Drosophila melanogaster: one gene and its partners. The protein of the gene in region 2 interacts with the protein of the main gene of each other region in a biochemical or structural test. Each region holds a gene or a part of one and is shown on either strand. Other genes may lie near its edges. The genes, in order: DIP-epsilon, dpr14 and DIP-zeta.

Region 1 (5,610 bases), on a different chromosome or scaffold from region 2:
CGCGAGTTGGCCATGCGCTGGTAGGCTCCAAGTCCCATCTCCGTCTCCCGACTGGGCGTGGTCTGGGCGTTGAGCAACTTGCCGGCGTCCAGGTTCTGCATTTGAATGTCCGCCATGGCGCTGCAAGGATTAAGTTGGTTTTATTTCTAGGAGGCACCTTAGGAGACTTAACATACGTGGTCGGCAGCTTGGCGTAGCTGGGCTGCTGCTCCCAGTACTTGTCCAGGAAGCTGGGACACTGCTGCCTTTTCTTGAGCCGCAGGATGCGGTAGATGAATCCGTTCCGTTGGCAGCGCTGCCTGGTGGTCCTCGATAAGAGATCTGCCTCTGGATCTTGTCTTCCTGCAGATCTGTTCTTTCGCCTAGAAGATGAAAGATACCACTTTTTATTAAAGATGTTTTTAATAATTATTATAAAGTAAAAGCTTTTGTTAACTCTTAAAGAATATCACATATAACTAGTATTTACTGTTTACGTATTTGGTTGCAGTAAGCACCCACTTGGGCGGGAAGCCCGCCTGTGGCACATTGTTTTGTGGCAACCAGCGGCCGTTGCATAGTTTTAGGCTGTTGACCCCCAACTAGCCAATTCCACCCCGTGCTTAGCCACTATTGATTGGTCAGCGGATTTGCGCGCGAACGAAAGTCAGCGGAGTTGAGCTTCAACTAATTGGCCCCACTCACCAGAGCCAGCTGTTGGCCACCCAGGACGTGGGGGGAGTTGTCAGTGAAGACGACGTCGAGGAAGTCGAGTGGGTGGTGGAGTCGGACGTTGAGGTGCAGGCGGAGTGGGCTGGTGCGGCGGCAGCTGTGGCACAGCTGCCAAGGCATGAACCCATGGAGAAGGGGCTGCTCCTGTCGCTGCTACAAGATCCTTGCTGGCTTCGATGCGGCTGCACTTGGCATTTCACGTCACTTTTTCGCCAGCCAGGCGCCACATTTCATTACGCTCGGGTCAAGGCTCCGCGGTGATGGCCCCTTCCCGTGGGCTTTCCGATTACCCTTTTGGACTCCGGAGCCCCTTTCAACGCAACTCCACACACTCCGCGGCACAGAGCGTAACTGTTTTTCATGCGCCGAGTGCGTCGACGTCAGTGAGTGACGGTGACGCCCCCACGCTTTCTTGGCTAAATGCTCCGTAAGCCTAGTGACGGAGTTTCTGTTTGGCCCTGCAGCAGTTGGGTGGTGGGTGGTGGCCACCTTTTGAGAGTCAGCTGTTTCGACTGAGTGTTGTGGCTTTCGCGTTTTGCGCTGTCAAGTGGCTAAAGTCAACAGGAGAGCAAAGCGTCTTGTGACAGGAGCTTTCGTCACTACTTAAAGCTTAGACGGACGCTCAAAGTTAATAAATTCACGGCACGGAGCGCTTTCGACTAGCAGTAGCTTTATCAGGGGTAATAACGGGAAATGTTAGGGTATTGCAGGACCGACATGATGAAGCTTTGCTTGGGGTGTAAAATGGGAAATGTTAAGGCTTGTAGGACCAAATTGTGTGAGCTTTGTTAGGGGTTATAAAGGGAAATGTAGAGCAAAGAAACCAAGTTCTTTTATAAATTTCTCTTTAATGAAGTTTGTATTGCAGCATCCTCTTCTTAAGATAGCGATGTTAACAGCAAGCTAAAGAAGTCTTGCCTTTTGAACTCTGACATTTATGGTCACAGAACTTGGAAATGCGTTTGCAGTCCCTAGCTGTAAATGTGTTAAAGTGCTAAGCTATTATTCCATTATGCCCGCTCAAAGACCAAGTAACAAATGTTCAATGATTAGCGAAGATGAAAAACATGTTTTCACTGTAAGACAGATGAGGGAGTTTTGAGGGATAACTCAAAAATGCTTACACAAGTGATACGCCCTGCTCTATTATGTTCAGAAAGAAATAATACGTTTCTTTATTTAGCTCACATATGCACATACTAATACTGGAAATTCTGCGACCTTTGGCTTTTCTCACATTTTTTCTCTCACATGATGAACATAAAATTTAACCCGCCGCATTAGCTGACGGAACGGATAGTGGAGTGGTGCATTAAAACACTCGGCGGATCGTTGGATTGATTGTTCGCTGTTTTCGGGGCTGTTAGTAGCAGAAAGTGCTGTTTGGCTCTGCAGCCAGGGCTATAAACATATGTAAGCTAACATAAATCACGGCCAACCGCAACATTTGTTTATCTTTTTAACATGCCGCAGCCGAAGTGAATCGCACGACGGGATGCTGCTGCCAGTGTGAAATCGGCTGTCGTTTCGTTCGGTTGTCGTTAGTCTGCGGTACCGCATCCGCATCAGTATTCGCAGTCGCAGTCGCAATCGCTTTTGAATCCCGAACCCGAATCGGTAACGGTATCAGAACCAGAATCGGTTTCGTTAGACGTGCGTGGACGTGGTCTTTCTTATTTGCACTGGCCAAATAGTTTAAAATAGTATTTTCGATTGGCATTAGTGGCGGCGAATGGTTGTTGTAAATCAACTGCTGTGAGTGCTTTTATTCGATATCCCATGCCATTTATGCACCTCCGCTGCCCACCGGAGGAGCTGCTGGCTTTGTGACGGCGTCTGTGTGTCTGCCGCGTGGTCCCCTAATTTAGTTATGTTGCAAAAACGGAGAACGGCAGAGGGAAACATGAAAATCCGTTGTTATGTTGTCTCGCTGCTCTATTTATAAATTGATTTGCTGATTCCTGCCGACATCTGACGCCCCATCCAGCAGCCAGACATTGCCACGGTGAGTTATTAGTTTCTGGAAGCAGGGCGACATCGGATGGAGGAGAACGAAGTTGCAGATGGGGCATCATTGAATAGTGAGTTCGCAGGATGGCCTGTTTAGGGAGCTGCATCTTTTACAAAGGATCCTTCCGAATTGGTTTACATCTGCTGGGAGAAGCTGTGCAGGCAATTGATTGCACTTTGAATGTTTCATTAGCCGGCTTTCAAAATAATGCGAATTGTATGCAAATCTAACTTCAAATTTAATTTTCTTTTTGTTTCATTTATGAAACTAAGTACTAAATGCGTAGCAAATTATTATTATTATTTACATGGCCAATGGCATCCTCGTAAAGACCAATATCTACTTGTTTAAATTAAACCATCCTCTGTCTTTATTTCCAACTTAAATTGTGCGTTTCCAGTTCCCGCGGCACAGTCTGACTCAGATATTTATATATCTTCCTGACGGCCGTCTACGTGGTGGCAATGTGCACCGAAGTGCAAAAGCCGGCTACTATATATGTAAACAAACGTGCAGAAATCTGCAATGATTGTCCGATCGAAAAGATTAATATACCGTGGAATGAAATCGTTTTAAGAGGTAATACGAATTTACGATGCGCTGTTTGCGGTTAGTGTGAAATTGAAGTTTTATGTTCACTTCAGTAATAAATAAACACAATCGTCATTAAAAAGTTAGCTCTAAAGATCGAATCCTTTGGGTGACACAAGCACTTGGTTGAATTCCCTGTGCTGTGGAAAAGAAAAGAAATAATAATTATAATTAAATAATTAATTTCATTTTGATTGATTGATTCGGTTCGGTGTGATTATAGTGCAGAAAGGAAGCACTCCTTTCTCATGCTATACGTACTTTTACCCGAAGAATACGATAGAAGATTTCTGCGCCACGGGCTTGTTGCTATTATTCGTTATTCATTTTTGCGTGTGAAAGGAAATGTAAATTGATTTATTATGCAAAAGCGAGTAAATGCTCCCTAGGAGACGGAAAGACAGAGCAGAAGTCAGACCGGCGGAGCATTCACCGCTGGCTCCTTTTCATCATGCGGCTACATCACTTCGAAGATGTGGGAAATATCCTTTCTGTCTGCGGGGCACAAACATTGCTGTTTACAATGATTTAAATGCATTACGAATTCACGGTCCATTTACATTTCGCGGTTAGTTCTATGGATGCAACAATCGTCGTCGCGTGAAAATACACCAGACAATACATTTTGGTGTACCAAACTATCACGTATTTATGTCATTCATACAATAATACATATATTTTTGACCATCAGTTGGTTGCTTATCAATCAGGTGAACTTTGGGTCATTAACGCTTAAATCTAAAAAACACATTTTATAAGAAACAAAATTGAATCTTATAAGATGTCAATGGTTCACTAAAATCTTCCTCAGCATAACGTTCAAAATCTTTGTTTAGATATCACAACCAAAATGAATGTTAAGTCGGCCGGCTTAGAAATCAATTAAGTTTGCAATTCGGTTTCAATAACCCTTACTTAATGGAAAATCCACAACAGCTGTCCCCAAGGAGGCATTCTAATTGAAATGCATTCATATTGCAATAGAATGAAGAAATTGACGAGACTGGAAGGACCTCCATGGGTTTACTTGACTGCCGTAGCCGGAGTGTAAAACAACAGCTGACAGAGCAAATTGCTTTTCGCTTATGACACGAGCAGGAATTAAAAACAAGGAAAAAATTCTTCTATGCATGCATGCAGCAAAACAACCACGAAAAGGAAGCTGATAATTCTGATGGTGACGATAACGTTGTCCCTGGCATTTGAACGGATTTGAGGTCGTTCGGAGACTTAGGGTTCGTCACTGCTCTGATATCTTCCTAATGCTGATCCTCTTTATTGAAAACTCCTTAATCCGTGAAAAAGATGCAAGCCAGGTGTGGGTCTGGTTAAAATGGCTCATAAAAATCTTAAGCATAAAAAATGGTGTGTCCGCTCGTCTGTCCGTATGTATGATATACAAAATCTCTTCAACTATTATAAATTTGAAAGCTTAGATTAAAGTTTATAAGATATGATTAAGTACGGTTGTAATCAATAAGCCGTGTAAAGGGTATGGGATAGCCGTGTAACACGAAAACAGGTCTCATTCCTTGCGGTAAATGGAAAATTGAGCAATGACAAATTAAATGTACACTTAAGCCTAAAAGCATGAAGCCATGTATAATTTCTTTTTTTTATTAATATTTTCATCAATAATGGCAACCTATAATTTCTCCTCATATTTCAGGGGTAGCGTGCATAAAAGCCAATCGCAATTAAACGTTGATCGATTCCAAAAGCAAACACAACATGAGCCGGAATATACTGTAATGCTGCACAATATTTGTACGCAATAAATAATTAAGTTTTCTTAATTGAAAAGCTAAACAACGGTAAAAAAAAGGGGCATCAAACTTACAGCAAAATGGCATACCACCTCGAAGCGATTTCTTCGTTTCTGTATGTGGGCCTTGGTTGCCTGATTGCCTCCTCTGTGGCACTAAGTACAGATACTGGAAGTGAAGGCAACGCCGGTAACGTCGGTGGCTCAACCCTAAATAATGGTGAGTAAAAATAATATTTAGGAAATTAATGTTATGTCCTTTATTATAATTATACTTATTGTATCACGAAAGGAAAACCAAAAAATTCTGTTTAAAATTATACTTCATTCTATAGCAAACAATATAGTTAAAATGTTTGCTGCAGATTGCTCTTTTTTGGGGTTTTTAAATGCAGGGAACGATAATAATAAGTATTTGTATTAATCAAATAAATGGACTTAATATGTGCAATCATCATTCTCTTTTCAATTTGTAATTTATCCGGAAAAGTAAAATATTGGTGCACTAAGCTTTATTCAATTAATGGTAAAT
Region 2 (7,762 bases):
AGATCCCTAAGGCCTTCAAGATCATACCCAAGCTGCGCAATTGGGAGCAGATCTTGTTCATCACTGAGCCCCATAATTGGAGCGCTGCCGCCATGTTCCAAGGCACCCGCATCTTCTGCTCGGTGCTGTCGCAGGCAATGGCCCAGAGGTTCTATAACCTGGTGCTCCTGCCACGAGTTCGTGATGATCTCTGCGAATATAAGAAGCTCAATATGCATCTGTACAATGCACTGAAGAGGGCTCTCTTCAAGCCGGCTGCCTTCATGAAGGGAATCATTCTGCCGCTGCTCGAGGGCGGCGATTGCACATTGCGCGAGGCCATCATTTTCGGCAGTGTGGTGGCCCGCAGCTCTATTCCCGTCCTGCACTCCTCCGCCTGCCTGCTGAAGATCTGTGAGATGGCCTATTCGGGAGCTAACTCCATATTCATCCGTTACTTTCTGGACAAGCGGTATGCTCTGCCTTATCGCGTCGTGGATGCCGCAGTCTTTCATTTTCTAAGGTTGGTATTCTCACTACAATGCCTTTTAGAAATCGAAATAACATGGTTTCTTGCAGATTCGAGAACGACAAGCGTGAGTTACCAGTGCTATGGCACCAGAGCCTGCTCACCTTTGCCCAGCGATACAAGAACGATATATCCTCCGAACAGCGGGATGCACTGCTGCAGCTGCTCAAGTAAGTAAATCGAATGCTATTGAAACCCTAGAACTGTTAGTAACTGTAAATCACAATTGCAGAAAGAAGAGCCATTTCAAGATTACACCCGATGTGAGAAGGGAGCTCCAGGCGGCCAGTTGTCGCGATGTGGAAATGATGGAGACGGATAATGGCCTGGCTGGGCAGCCAGCCAAGATGTACACAGATGCCGATGTGGAGTACGAGGGCTGAGGCGGTGTAAATTAAGGATAACTTTAAGATGATATTGTTTTACTATTTAATATCGGATAGTCGTTAAATATGTAAATATACCTACATATGCAGTGAAAATCAAATGCAGATGTTTATTCTGTGGGAAAATGAAAGCCACTTCAGATGTTTTGAATGTTTTAATAGAAAAAACAAATGTGTGTGTTTGTGTGTGGTTTTTTTTTTATACAATTTTGCATTAAGTTTTAGTTGCTTTTGGTTTTTTGCTTGACAATGACGGTATCTTTTGGCGCCGTCGCAGTCGCATCGGCCATATTGACCAGACGCCCGCGTTATACATTATGTATGTATGTAGTTTTATAATCTCAATTTTAAATGTAGTAATTATTAAATATAATTCTGTAACCAAAATCTTTCTAAAAGTTTCGTTTCGTCACTTTTTATTAGTCTCTAAGTATTGTTTCGTTATCTCACTCCAACATTTGTCTTGTTTTGTTTTGTTTTGTTTTATTCTGTTCTGTTTTTCATTTGTGTTATTTAAGGGCATACTCCAAGGACCGATTCGGGTCGGGATCAATTTGAATAATTTACAATAACTACACTGGACCATTTGAAATTAGTTTACCCAAGTACTTAGGCCTCAAGCCTTATCAATAATTTCGTTTCTTAAATTTGCTTACTTCTGTTTTTTTCCGTTTTTTTTTTTGTGTGTTTTCAAGCTGAGCTTTGATTTCGAAATACAATTTGTAAAGAGAGCGTGGGTATGTTTGTATATAATAACCGATCTTAAAAGCAATATGAATTTGGAATGCCGTCAGTGAGTAAGGATATCGAAAGTTTTTCGGGGCTTTAAATACATAGGCGATGATCGTTTGAAGCGAAAGCTAAAGCCTTAGACATAAACTGATATACTCGCATGTGGGGGAAGGGTACAGTGAGCATTGGCTATGTGCATACCGAATGAAGGGTCCGCACCTTACGCCCAATTCGAGAAATGAAAGTGGCAAGTATTCATTTGCTTCTTGTTCTTGATCGTGATTTATTTCGTTTAATTGAATTACTTTTAGGGATTACGGTTTTGGTTTTCGATTTCAATTTCGATTTTGATTTTGGTTTTTAGGGACCGTTTTCAATCAAAGAATCAAGTATTTACCCATTGGTCCGAGTTGTGTTGTGTTTTCGACTTGAAAAAGATACAAATATACAATTAATTGGTTTTGCCTCAAATGGTCATTGGTTCCGCAACCGAATTAACAACAATTAAACGATATGTATCCATTTTGAATGGCACAGTTTTGTTAACGTTAAACATTTCCTAAGTGTTTCTCATTTACATTTCTAGATCGTGGATAAACTGAGGAAAACCCAACTACTGATCAAGCTCACGCACATATAATGTTTCGAATTATTTAATAATTTAACAACCTCTCTAGCTCTCCTCCAGTTATCGATGCACTTAAGTATTCAAAAAATCTGAGACAAGGACATGGACAAGGACGAAAAAAAAATCAAGGACTGAAAATTAGGGATAAATGAAGTACGATTTTGTTCGGTATTGATTATTATTGATTACGATTAGAATGATCCCAACTGATATGCTGTTTGATTTCAAGAAGCTACAACCATATTTTCATTAACAAGGCCTTGGATCGGAGGTGTATACTATACGTTAATCGGGATATAGAATACACACGAGCGTTGTGGAAATATTAATATTTCGGTGATGCGCGACCTTTGGAAGGCGATCCGTCCGAGTGAGAAAAAATTATGCTTTAAACTTTGGACCTTACAAATCTAGGTATGCATGCATGTACATATATCCATAATGACGTGGAGGTAACAAAGAGCTAAATGGATACGTTAGATGCAATAATGTGCATGTTTGTATATAAGATCAATATGTTAGCCAACATAAACACGGCCGTTTGGTAGTACAATTCGATTCGATTATGATACTAATAATGTTATGTTCTAGCGCTAAAAATCAATATCTCATCTATATTTCGCGTACGCCCTTACTAGTACGAGTTTTTCATTTCACTTTCATTTCCGTTTTCTTTTTTTTGGTTTGTTTGGTTTTGCTTTCGAGCTTTCGATTTCCGCCTTTTTTTTTCTTTTTAAATACACTTGACCTTAAGCTTAATATTCGGTTTATGCTATGTATCGTATGTTAAACAACCCATGATTAGAGTAAAAGTCGAAAATGCAATCCTGGACAAGACTCTTTTGGTATATGCATTTCCCGCGACACAATCTAGGATCTACGATCCCCGGATTAGGCTGCGTCGTCATCGTCTTAATTCCCATCCCCATCCCCACACTTGTCCCAAGCCCAATCCCCGATTCATTCCGGCTACGGAAATCGAACCGGAGATGCAAACGTACACTAGAAATAACACAACCATTGTGGAGGCGTTGGCCTTTTGGCGGCTTCCGTTCGCATGCTGCATGGCGGCTGGCTCCTCACCTGGAATTCCGGATTCTATATGAATAGCCAAGGGGAGTTTGCACACTTACCGTTCAGCACATGCACCACCACCGTCTCCGTAATCTCATTGCCCAGCATGCAGGTGTAGTTGCCCGTGTCCTGGCGATTGGCATTGGCGATATACAGGCGACTCAGAGCTCGTCCTGGCAGCATGTCCGTCTTGACACTGCAAATGATATCAAATGCATGGTAATTAACTTACGATTATTAAGACCATATACGACAAATCCTACCTGATTCCTCCGCGACTAGTATCGTAGTTGAGCAGGCGCGGTCCGTGCCGCCAGGTGATATAGGAGGAGGGATGCGGAATCTTCGAAATGACGCACTGCAGCTCGATGGTGCTGCCAGCCTTGTAGTACTTCTCCGGCGTGGCCGAGCCCCGCTCGTCGAGTATCTCCACGTGAGGAACTGCGGATGGACAACGAATGAGATCAGCATGGATCAGCAGGTTTTGCTTGGCAAGCCGACAGCAGTTGCTCACCAATTATAGTAAGGTAAACGAGCAGGACGAGCGGCGGATGCGAGGACACCTGGCACTCGTAGGGACCCTCGTCCCGCTCGTTGGCGAACTGGATGAGCAGCTTCCAATCGTTGGGCTCCTCGAACTCCAGCGAATACCGCGAGTCGCCGCTATATGTGTGCTGGCCAAAGGTTATCAGGGTGAGATCATCGCCACGGCGACGCATCCAGGACACCGTCTTGCCCTGCAGATCGTTCACCCGGCAGTGCAGATAAACGCTGGACGAGAGCTGGGTGCTGATGTTCAGCGTGGTGTACGGATCGGCGAAGAACGGGAACGGCTCGTGGGTGGTCGTCTCGGTGACCTCCAGCTCCTCATCCTCGGGCGTGTCGGTGAACGGCGATGAGAACTCCTGCCAGAAGTTCTTCGGAAACGTGTCGAATGGATCGCCAGCTCGCGGTCGTTTCACTAGTTCGAAAAAAAACAATTTCAATAGATATAGTTAAAATATATATGAAAATCATATAATATATAAAAATAAAATGCACTCAGCTAAAATCACGTATAAAAGAAAAACTCAAATAAAACAATAATTTCGTTTCGAATAATGCTTGCACACTAAGTAGTAAAATAATTGTTTTACATAAAAAAAAATAATCATTTTTCACTTGGGTAATCCGCAAAGTAAACAAAAGAACTTAATCTTCAGCTTAAAAGTGCCAAAGTTTGAGTTGGGTAAAAGTTTGCAATGTGATTAAGGCATGAGGTGGAGACTCACATGTGGTCGACGTGGAACCCGAGCCGATGTGATGGAGTGAGGAGTATATAATCGCCAGTATCCAAAACAGCCTCGATCTCATCACTGCAGCGGAGTGTCTTCATATGCCGACTTACGGGATACGGTAACAGGATGCGGGATGATGCATCGACTGGCGCCACTCGCCGCAGGATATGCACATATGAACGAACGCCCCTCTAAACTGTTCTATATCGATCCAAGTCCAACTGCATCAGCGTCCCACTGCATCGCCAGCGATGATTCCACGGACTTCACTTCGCTTCGCTTATCGATTGCCCTGCGGCAAAATATTGCTGGACATATTGCACTCAAGTATCTTCTTTTTCAGAGTGTCCTTTTCGATTATATATGTATATTTACTTTTTCTTTTTCTCTTTTTTGTTGATTTCTTTGCACACTTTTCAGCGCGCGGATGGAGGCTGGAGGGATAGGAATGTCGGACAATTGGAAAATCGGAAAAGCGCTTATTAACCAGCTCGTGTTGCGTGTGTATTTATCCTTTTGCAACTGCTGCTCGGATGGCCAATAAACGGGAATGTAGGTCAGGGCATGCTCTGCGCATGGCCAGCATCCGCATCCCTATTATTTCATCCGAAGGAATCCCTCTACCCGAGCAACAACAACAAATAGCAGACGCCACTCACCTCTCAAGCTCAAAATAATGCAATCTTCAAGATTGTTTTAAAAAGAAAAAGACTTTTCTTTTCTTCTTTTGTTTGCATTTGTCCAGGAAAAAAGCTCTTTTCGGCGGATGGTTCTGATAAATATTTAACAATATAAAAGTTGCTTTTGCCGGTCCTTCGGCGTTGTTGTTCCCTCACCCACACTTGCTTCGGCACTGAATCCGCTCCGAAAGGCCAGCATCTCTCTCGGCATTCTTGCAATCCAGGGATTTCTACCCACCAAACAAGGTCCTTTGAATCCGTATAGCTCGGCATGCAAATAAATCGGGCGATTGAGCTCAGAAATACCTGTATTTTACTAATTGTTAAGAGCCTAGAGTAAAAATACAGATAAACTACCATTCTTTTACTGTCAAATTAAGCTTCAAATTCGAAATTCGATAAGTAACCGATATTTATCGATAGGCAAAGGATTACCCTCGCACATACGCGATCCGCTATAGCCATCTCGCTCCATCAATAATTTACCGTTAATATAGCGGGCTTTACTCAGAAACATCAAAAATATTTAACGACTTTAATTGTAGCATTCGCTGCGTTAAATTGTTTATCGCACTTTCTGCTTCCTGCGCATGTGCAGGAAATTAGTCAGACTATTTCGGTGATTGCCCCATTCTGGCGTGTATTGGTGAGAGCATAGAACTTACACTGCCCTCCTATGATATACATATGCATGCTTTTTTCGCTTTTAAATAAACTAATTAATAGACTAGTAAAAGAAGGATATACGGTAATGAACCTGTGAACCCTTAGGCGGAAAACTATTGCTGAATTTACATTTCATCCCTCTTTTAAAATCAGCTAGTGCAACATAACGGTTCTTGGTGTGATAAATTTTTGCGCTCACTGTTTGCAGCCGCCCTTATCTTTCGCTTTTTGGTGGTGTGCGTGAGCGCTATGAAATGACATAAGTGGGCACACAACACAGACACACACCCCTCTGAGGGGGGCACATGGATACGAAAAAGAACCGTTCATTTGCTTTTGTGCCGTTGACAATTGACATTCAATCGCTTTTTCCATTTGTTTTTATTTTCCCCCTTCTACCCTAAGTTTCTCCTTTCAAAGAAAACGCATTTGGAATACAAATCAGGCAAAAAACACGCGTACATAAATCGAGTAATCGAAAATCAGTGGCGATTTCGAAGGGTGTGTGTGTGTGTAGAATTACTACAACACACCACAAATACAGTTCGAAAAGGCAGCGCAGTCGGCAGAGGCGAAAAAAAAGCAGCGGCGTCAGCATTTCCATTTCGGCATTGCAGCTCGAAAATCGTAGAATCAGAAACTAATCAGCCGGCAGAGGCTATAGCAGTCGACCGATCGCAATCGCACCATATAGTACATACAATAGGTACCATTGCCTAGGAGTACCAGGAACCAGGAACCACTAATCTCCATCATCAACATCATGGAGGAGAACAACTCGCAAGTGCTGAGCCTGCTGGGCGGTCTGGCCATCGGAATCGTGGGCTTCCAGGTCTTCCGGAAGGTCCTGCCCTGGATTTACGCCAATGTTGTTGGCCCCAAGGTCTTTGGCTCCTCGGTGGATCTCTCCAAAATGGGCGAGTGGGCAGGTGAGTCGGTTGCCATGGAAAAACATGCCGGAAAGGAGCGGAAACGGGGTCGATTCCGAGTGCACAGTGAAAAAATGAATAGCAAGTTTGCTAAAGAAGTGTAGTTAAAAAGATTAAAGACCCTTTTACAATTAAATTGTGAAGAAAGGGAATTTCCAAATTGCAAACACTCTACTTTCAAGTTTTCCAATTTTGCATTAACTGCCTAAAGGAATACACTATATATCTTTCCAAAATGGAGTTCAGTACTTTTTTCACTGTGACCGATAAGATCGTTCCCCACGCCCCATAAATCCACTGATAACCCACAGAACTATTGGCTAACTTTTTCGACTTTCAGTTGTCACCGGGTCGACCGATGGAATTGGCAAGGCCTACGCCAAGGAGGTATGTACACAAAGATGACATGGAAGGGCTGCCCCAATCTTGACCAGCGCAAGCAAAGTCCGTCCAAGCTCGACCGATGATTATAGTAAAATGGGAAACGGGTCAAGCAAACAAACAAACAAAAAACGATAGTAATAATGAGCAATTAGTAATTACTAATTACCGAATTGAGTGTCGCCCACGATGACTTGGACATTGGTTTAGCGGTCGCCAATGCATTAGCCAAGTGAATCTGCACTTTGAAATCGATCTTCAGTCAACAGTCCAGTCGCAAACAGTCCCTAATAGTGTTTGCTTGACTGCAAATCGCTACATTTGTACTTTTCGTTATTTATTTTTACAAAGTGCAATCGCAGTTGATTTTTCTACCTTTTGTGGTAATTTTTTTTTTTTTTTGCCAGTTTTATTTTGTAATACACAGACTTGGAGCAAACGAAGCTAGAAGCTATAGGGAACACGTGTCCCCTGAATGGCAATTACTTTATAGAGTGGAGC
Region 3 (5,543 bases), on a different chromosome or scaffold from region 2:
TGACTAACTTCATAATTTGTATTAACATCTAATTGATAATATTAATTTAGATTGATTTTTAGTATAGACACTTTATTTTAGAAAATCGAATTTAAAAATTTTTTTAATTTTACTGGTAATATTTTCATTGGACATGTCGATATGTGTCTGATATTGTAGTTTAAATTCATAGGTCTTTGAAATATAGTTGTGTCACGCGCAGTCCTCTACTCTGGTTGCTGTTTCTTGGCCATCTCATTCAAAACTTTCTCTTAAAAATTGTATTTTTTATGGCTTTTGAGCGTGTCGCCTTCAGCTATTTAGGGGGTCCACACGCAGCTTGCGAAACACTTACACAGAGACAAAACTTTTTCCCTTATGACTCGCTTATGAAATTAAGCAATTTTGACTCCACCTCTTCCCCCAAAAACCACGCACACATGATAAAGCTTTTTTGGTATGGACCGAAACAGATTTACCATCAGAAACAAGAACAAGAAGTCCAACAAATTTTATGCACTTTTTTATGAGTTTGGCAAAGTGTTTGTAATTAAATTAATAAATTGTTGAGGGAGAAACTTGTTCCGAATGTGTTTTTCTTGTATTTTTATGCTAGGAAATTAAATTTTAATGGGGCTATTTAGTGTTTGTTTGGTTTTTGCTGTTTTTATAATGATAACTTTTTGGTAAAACAAATTGGCTTATAATTGTTGCGGGATTAAAGGGACTTAACTAAACGGGTGCGTAGATGAAAGAGACAATAACATTTATTTGTTTATGCTGACTAAGTTCATAGCCATTATAATATTTTTTATTGGGTGTTTAAATTTTCTTTTTAAAAGATTCTGTGTAAACGTAAATTAATCCTGACATAGTCATTAGCCCAAAAAAAATGTTCCTAGCTCTCAGGGGATTTCTCCTAAGCTTCTATAAATGCCTGACAGCTTTTAACCTTCATGGTTTTGTGGTAATTGAAGGGAGAAAAGAAAGCAGCACAAAGGAGGCCGAAATTGAATTAAGATATGTTTACCTATGGCCGAATTTATTTACATTAAAAGGTTCTTCAAAGAAGAAGCAAGCTAGAAAGGTTGTGCCTGTTACCTATCACTTATATTTTGGCAGCAAACAATACAAATACATGAAAATAAAATTCCGATTTAATTTGGTTTTATTTAAGGACTTACATCTCTCCCTTATCGAAAATTCGTTAGTTCACGTTACTATTTATTCGGATAATACAAGCTTAACTAGACTCAATTTAACTCTGATTTTATCTGGATAAAGTACTCTATTATATTTTCAGAAGTGCAATATAGAAACTAAATTTACCAAATAAACGCACCAATAAATATGCACTTATGATCAAAGCTCACACATATTTTCGACATCATCATCAGCAGCATCAAAGTTTTGCTATTTTGTTTGTTTTACTCTACACAATTTGTAAAGTTCCTGTAACTGCAAACGTCAAACCGAACTCGAGCAAACAAAACGCAACAAAGCTGAACTCAAAAAAGAATTCAAAAAAGATGGAAATAAATAAAGAACCAATAAGCCCTCTCTTCACTAGCTTTTGAAAAAAGTTCTGAAACAGCTGACATCCATGAGTTTCCCATCCTTCTTCTGCTCTGTGTGTTTACGTGTCTTACTCAAACTGTATCAGCTCCATATTGCCATTGATCTGCAATGATGCCTGAATGCAAAACATACCATTGTACAGTGGATACCCAACAAAATGAATCATTTCACATATGTTATAAATATGAAATAATTTAAATCTTAATTATATATTAAATGGAATTAAAATATTTGGACCATAAGAACCGATATATTGATATTAGTGGTGGATCCATTCTAAGTCTTGGTATATTGAATAAATTATGTAAAGTATTTTTACAACAATTTCTATTAGTTTCCAATGTTGTATACTGTAATTAAATATTTCTCTTTAATATTTTTTTTTTTTAATAAATTGTAACAAAATGCTAAGAAACGTTTACAATGAGCTTTGACAATATTCATACTCAAAGACTTATTCTGCATTTGGAATACAGTTGTGTCCAGTAACACATAGGCCCCACTGTACTCTCTGCGTTGTCTGTCTCTATCTCCTACTCCATTAAGTATGCAAGTTTTCAGCAGTTGGCAGTCGGGTCCTGGCCCTTTTCCCTGCATATCCTGATTCTCATGGATGCAGTGGGTTAATGTATTTTTAAGCTAAATTCTTTGTTTATATTTGCCTTGCTGTTTTCGGTTGTGTTTGTGTGTTGTGCATTGCGTTGCAGTGGCAACAACTGCTGTCCTTTATCAATCGCAACAAATTTCCCCTTCGACTATTTTTTTTGCGAGTTGTCCCAAAGTGAACTCTAGTGGATTCATTTATTCGCATATAAGTTTGTTTGGGAATTTTTCACAGATTGAAGAATGGCGTTGTGTGCGTGTCTGCCAGTTTTCGGGATTTAAGGACTTCGAGGGTCCTGGAGATAGTCTCGCTGTTTGTTTACTTTTTGTTGGCATGAAATGTGCATTAGCAGAGTTAACTGTTAATTGTTTACCCATTTCGAGGGCCTGACAAGTGACATGTGAGTTTGTGGTCTGGATTGTAGCTGTGGTTAACCATTAAATGGAGTTCAGTTATTTGAAATACTCGCACTAAGATAAATCGAAGTCTTTAATTGCATTTGAATGATCTGCAGTCCCAAACATAAACCTTTTACATTATATATTGTAATTAAGATTTTATACATAAATATAATATATAGCGTAACGAAACAAACGCATTAAACCAACTCCTTATTGCATTTTCAATTTTTAACATAGCTTATAATTACTTATCCTAACCGGCACTCGCACTTTTAAAAATTGTTGGAACTTTCGATTTAATATACTTCTGTCACTGATATTTATAAATAATATCTAAAGTTTGTTAAATTTAAAATTCCATATTTTTATAAAGTTTCTATTCTATTCTATGAATTATTAATAAAAAAGACTTTTCCGATGATCAAATTGTTCTTCTGTTTAAGACCTTAATAGTATGAATTGCATGTATTGAAATAATTAATTTACATACTGTAACTACAAGAATATTTTTGTGAATATTTAATTCTGTAGGTTAGTTTTGTGTTACGTATGATATACCAAGTTTTCAACCACTTTTACAAATTGTAATCTTTCAATAAAACGCTTACAAGTTTTGGTATTTTTTTAAATTTTATAATCAAGTGGACCTAAGTTTTTTAGCTCGACTTTTAAGTCATTTCTCAACACGATCACATTGAGTCAGGTGCTTCTAATTTGGCATCGATCACATGACACTTGAGTACGACTTTCCCTTTGCCGGGGATCTTTCAGTGTAACACCGATAAAACGCGTCCGCTTCGTGCAGAATCCGTAGCGAAACTGATTTGCCGACGAAACCTAATGCTCGCACAGAGCCGGGCTCTGGCTTTCCACCAACAACAATAAGGGAAAATCTAACGAATGGGAAGTGCTGTTACGTATACGCCGCGTTGGCCGAGTGATAACAGGCGGGGACGAGCCGACGGCCGACAGAGCGAGCCGAAGTGTAGCTTCGGTTTAAGCCAACCAAAGGACGCTGGATGCTGTTCATTGGTAGTTGTTGCTGCCGGTTGCTGGTTATGTCCGGTATCCTTGTTATGTTCGGAGGCTTGTTGTTTGCGTGCAACCGCAACCACAACAACAGACCGCAAAACACGCGACAAAAATGTTAACAGAGTCCAACCTGCAACACCATGCCCCAAAATCACCTCTCAAAGTTCGAGTTGCATGCCGATTCCGCCGTCGAACCTTTTTGGCTCGTTCCGGCTGAAGCTGTACCCTTTTAATAATAATTGAATTAAGATAAAATGAAAACAAAATCAAAACACATTTTTGCTTTCCGTTGGTTGCTGCATATTGCTATTTGGAGCCAAGTATTTAATTAGACAAGTTAATTAAATTTATTTGCATTTCATTTCAAGTCCATGTGCGTATGTTGAGCGAAAAAAGTGCAATTAATTTGAGATATTCAATTTGCAAGCGTTGCTTATTCGATTTTCGCTGATGCAGGACCATCTAATTGAGGGTGATAATTGCGTTTTATGACTGACTGAGCTAGCAAAGCTGGTTGTCAGTTGGTAGACGGTTAATTAAGAAGTTCTTTTCAAAGTTAACAGTGGTATTTTTGAATGGTTAGACAGATAATATTTTTAGTTACTTATTTTTTGAAGTATTTCATGATGATTTTATCCTATTAAATTAGGTGCACGAAAAAAGTTTTGCTATTTTTTAACTAGACCTTGTTTTAAGGGCACTGTAATCATCTCGACAAGCACTGGTCAGTTGTGCAGAAGGAAAAAAAAACGATGCATATCCGTCTGAAAGTTAGTCTATATATAGACGGATTGTATGCGATATGAGAGTGATGAATTCTCCCTGTTGGCCATACTGAACTATCTTAATGAACTCTTTCAAATCACAGACATCGCTCAATGCCAAAAACATTAAAACTGACAAGGCTAGACGGCAGACAAGATGACTGCTCTGTGACCCTCTCCCTGGGATTCCTCTACACACCACACACCCAAGGAGAAACGTGCACCATCGCTTGGCAAGTTCATTGTGGGGGGAATCCCAGAGGTGATAGGGCGGCGAGTGGGCGTGGTCGACTGTTGCGCCAGGATGTGACCAAAACAGGAAGAGTGGGTGGAGCGGGTGGATTAGGTGATGGCGAATGAGGAGGCGGAGGCGGAAAGGCCACAAAGGTCGTTGCAACACATTCGCTTCGTTGGGTCAAAAGTCAAGCGTTGGACGGGGGATCCCTTTGGATGCCAGCCATTACAACACTTTGTTGGCTGCTTTGTAAAGTTTTTCTCACCATGGAAAAAGTTTTTTTCTCTCTTTCCCAGTCTTTTTGTATTTTTCACGCCTTGTCCGAAAGTTTCCTGTTTTTCCCCTCTACTTGTTTTGCTATTTTTTCCCGCTGCCGCCTTAACAATGAAATTTTTGACTGCTGATTGTTTGCTGTTCAATGTTATTCTTCCAGTTCAATGCGAGTTTAAGTAGACAGAGCTAAACAAAATGGAAAAAAAGTATACAAAACCGGTCGGAAATATTGGACCTCCTTCTCTGGTACTTAGCCAAAGTCTGCAGCAAATTGAAAATGGAAAGTTTGGTTCCTGTTTTCCTGTGTAGATATATTCACAATTTCTTTTGCAGTTTGTCTGCGACTTTGGTTAAGTATGCCCTGCAGTCTAGTCTCTCTGCTAAGGACTGCCCAAATGAGGTAAAATAGTTTGGGGAATACTATCGGCAAAGTTTTGCCCCGGCTTGTCTGGTAAGATTTATATTTGGGATATTTGAGTTTAGGAAACAAAACAATACATGTACGAAAATCCGACCGAGTAATAAAACAAGATTAAAGATGAGAATCGAAAGTTTAATGGGCGGAGATTTGTAGACCCTTTTATGGCCAACAAACGTAATAACATCACGTAATTTTGAGGGTTGAAAAAACCGCAGGCTGACGTCGCATTTCCATTTTCCCAGCGGAGGCGAAAATG

What was found.
Region 1: the proteins of dpr14 (region 2) and DIP-epsilon form a complex in vitro, tested with the Drosophila melanogaster proteins (one study listed by BioGRID).
Region 3: the proteins of dpr14 (region 2) and DIP-zeta form a complex in vitro, tested with the Drosophila melanogaster proteins (one study listed by BioGRID).

The regions. Positions count from the first base shown.
Region 1 is NT_033779.5:6,407,933-6,413,542, reverse strand, and holds the start of DIP-epsilon (Dpr-interacting protein epsilon), read left to right. Parts: upstream 1-2,216; 5' UTR 2,217-2,716; intron 2,717-4,982; 5' UTR 4,983-5,159; coding exon 5,160-5,298; intron 5,299-5,610. Other genes in the region: CG13982 (uncharacterized protein), read right to left, coding at 1-120, 177-362, 685-839.
Region 2 is NC_004354.4:7,902,658-7,910,419, forward strand, and holds dpr14 (defective proboscis extension response 14), read right to left. Parts: upstream 5,630-7,762; 5' UTR 5,442-5,629; intron 5,378-5,441; 5' UTR 5,265-5,377; intron 5,158-5,264; exon of another isoform or gene 5,040-5,157; 5' UTR 4,682-5,039; coding exon 4,600-4,681; intron 4,290-4,599; coding exon 3,843-4,289; intron 3,770-3,842; coding exon 3,592-3,769; intron 3,525-3,591; coding exon 3,388-3,524; intron 3,338-3,387; coding exon 3,159-3,337; 3' UTR 1,047-3,158; downstream 1-1,046. Other genes in the region: bys (by S6), read left to right, coding at 1-502, 559-678, 741-891; spidey, read left to right, coding at 6,715-6,880, 7,221-7,267.
Region 3 is NT_033779.5:9,067,780-9,073,322, forward strand, and holds the start of DIP-zeta (Dpr-interacting protein zeta), read right to left. Parts: upstream 3,386-5,543; 5' UTR 3,053-3,385; intron 1-3,052.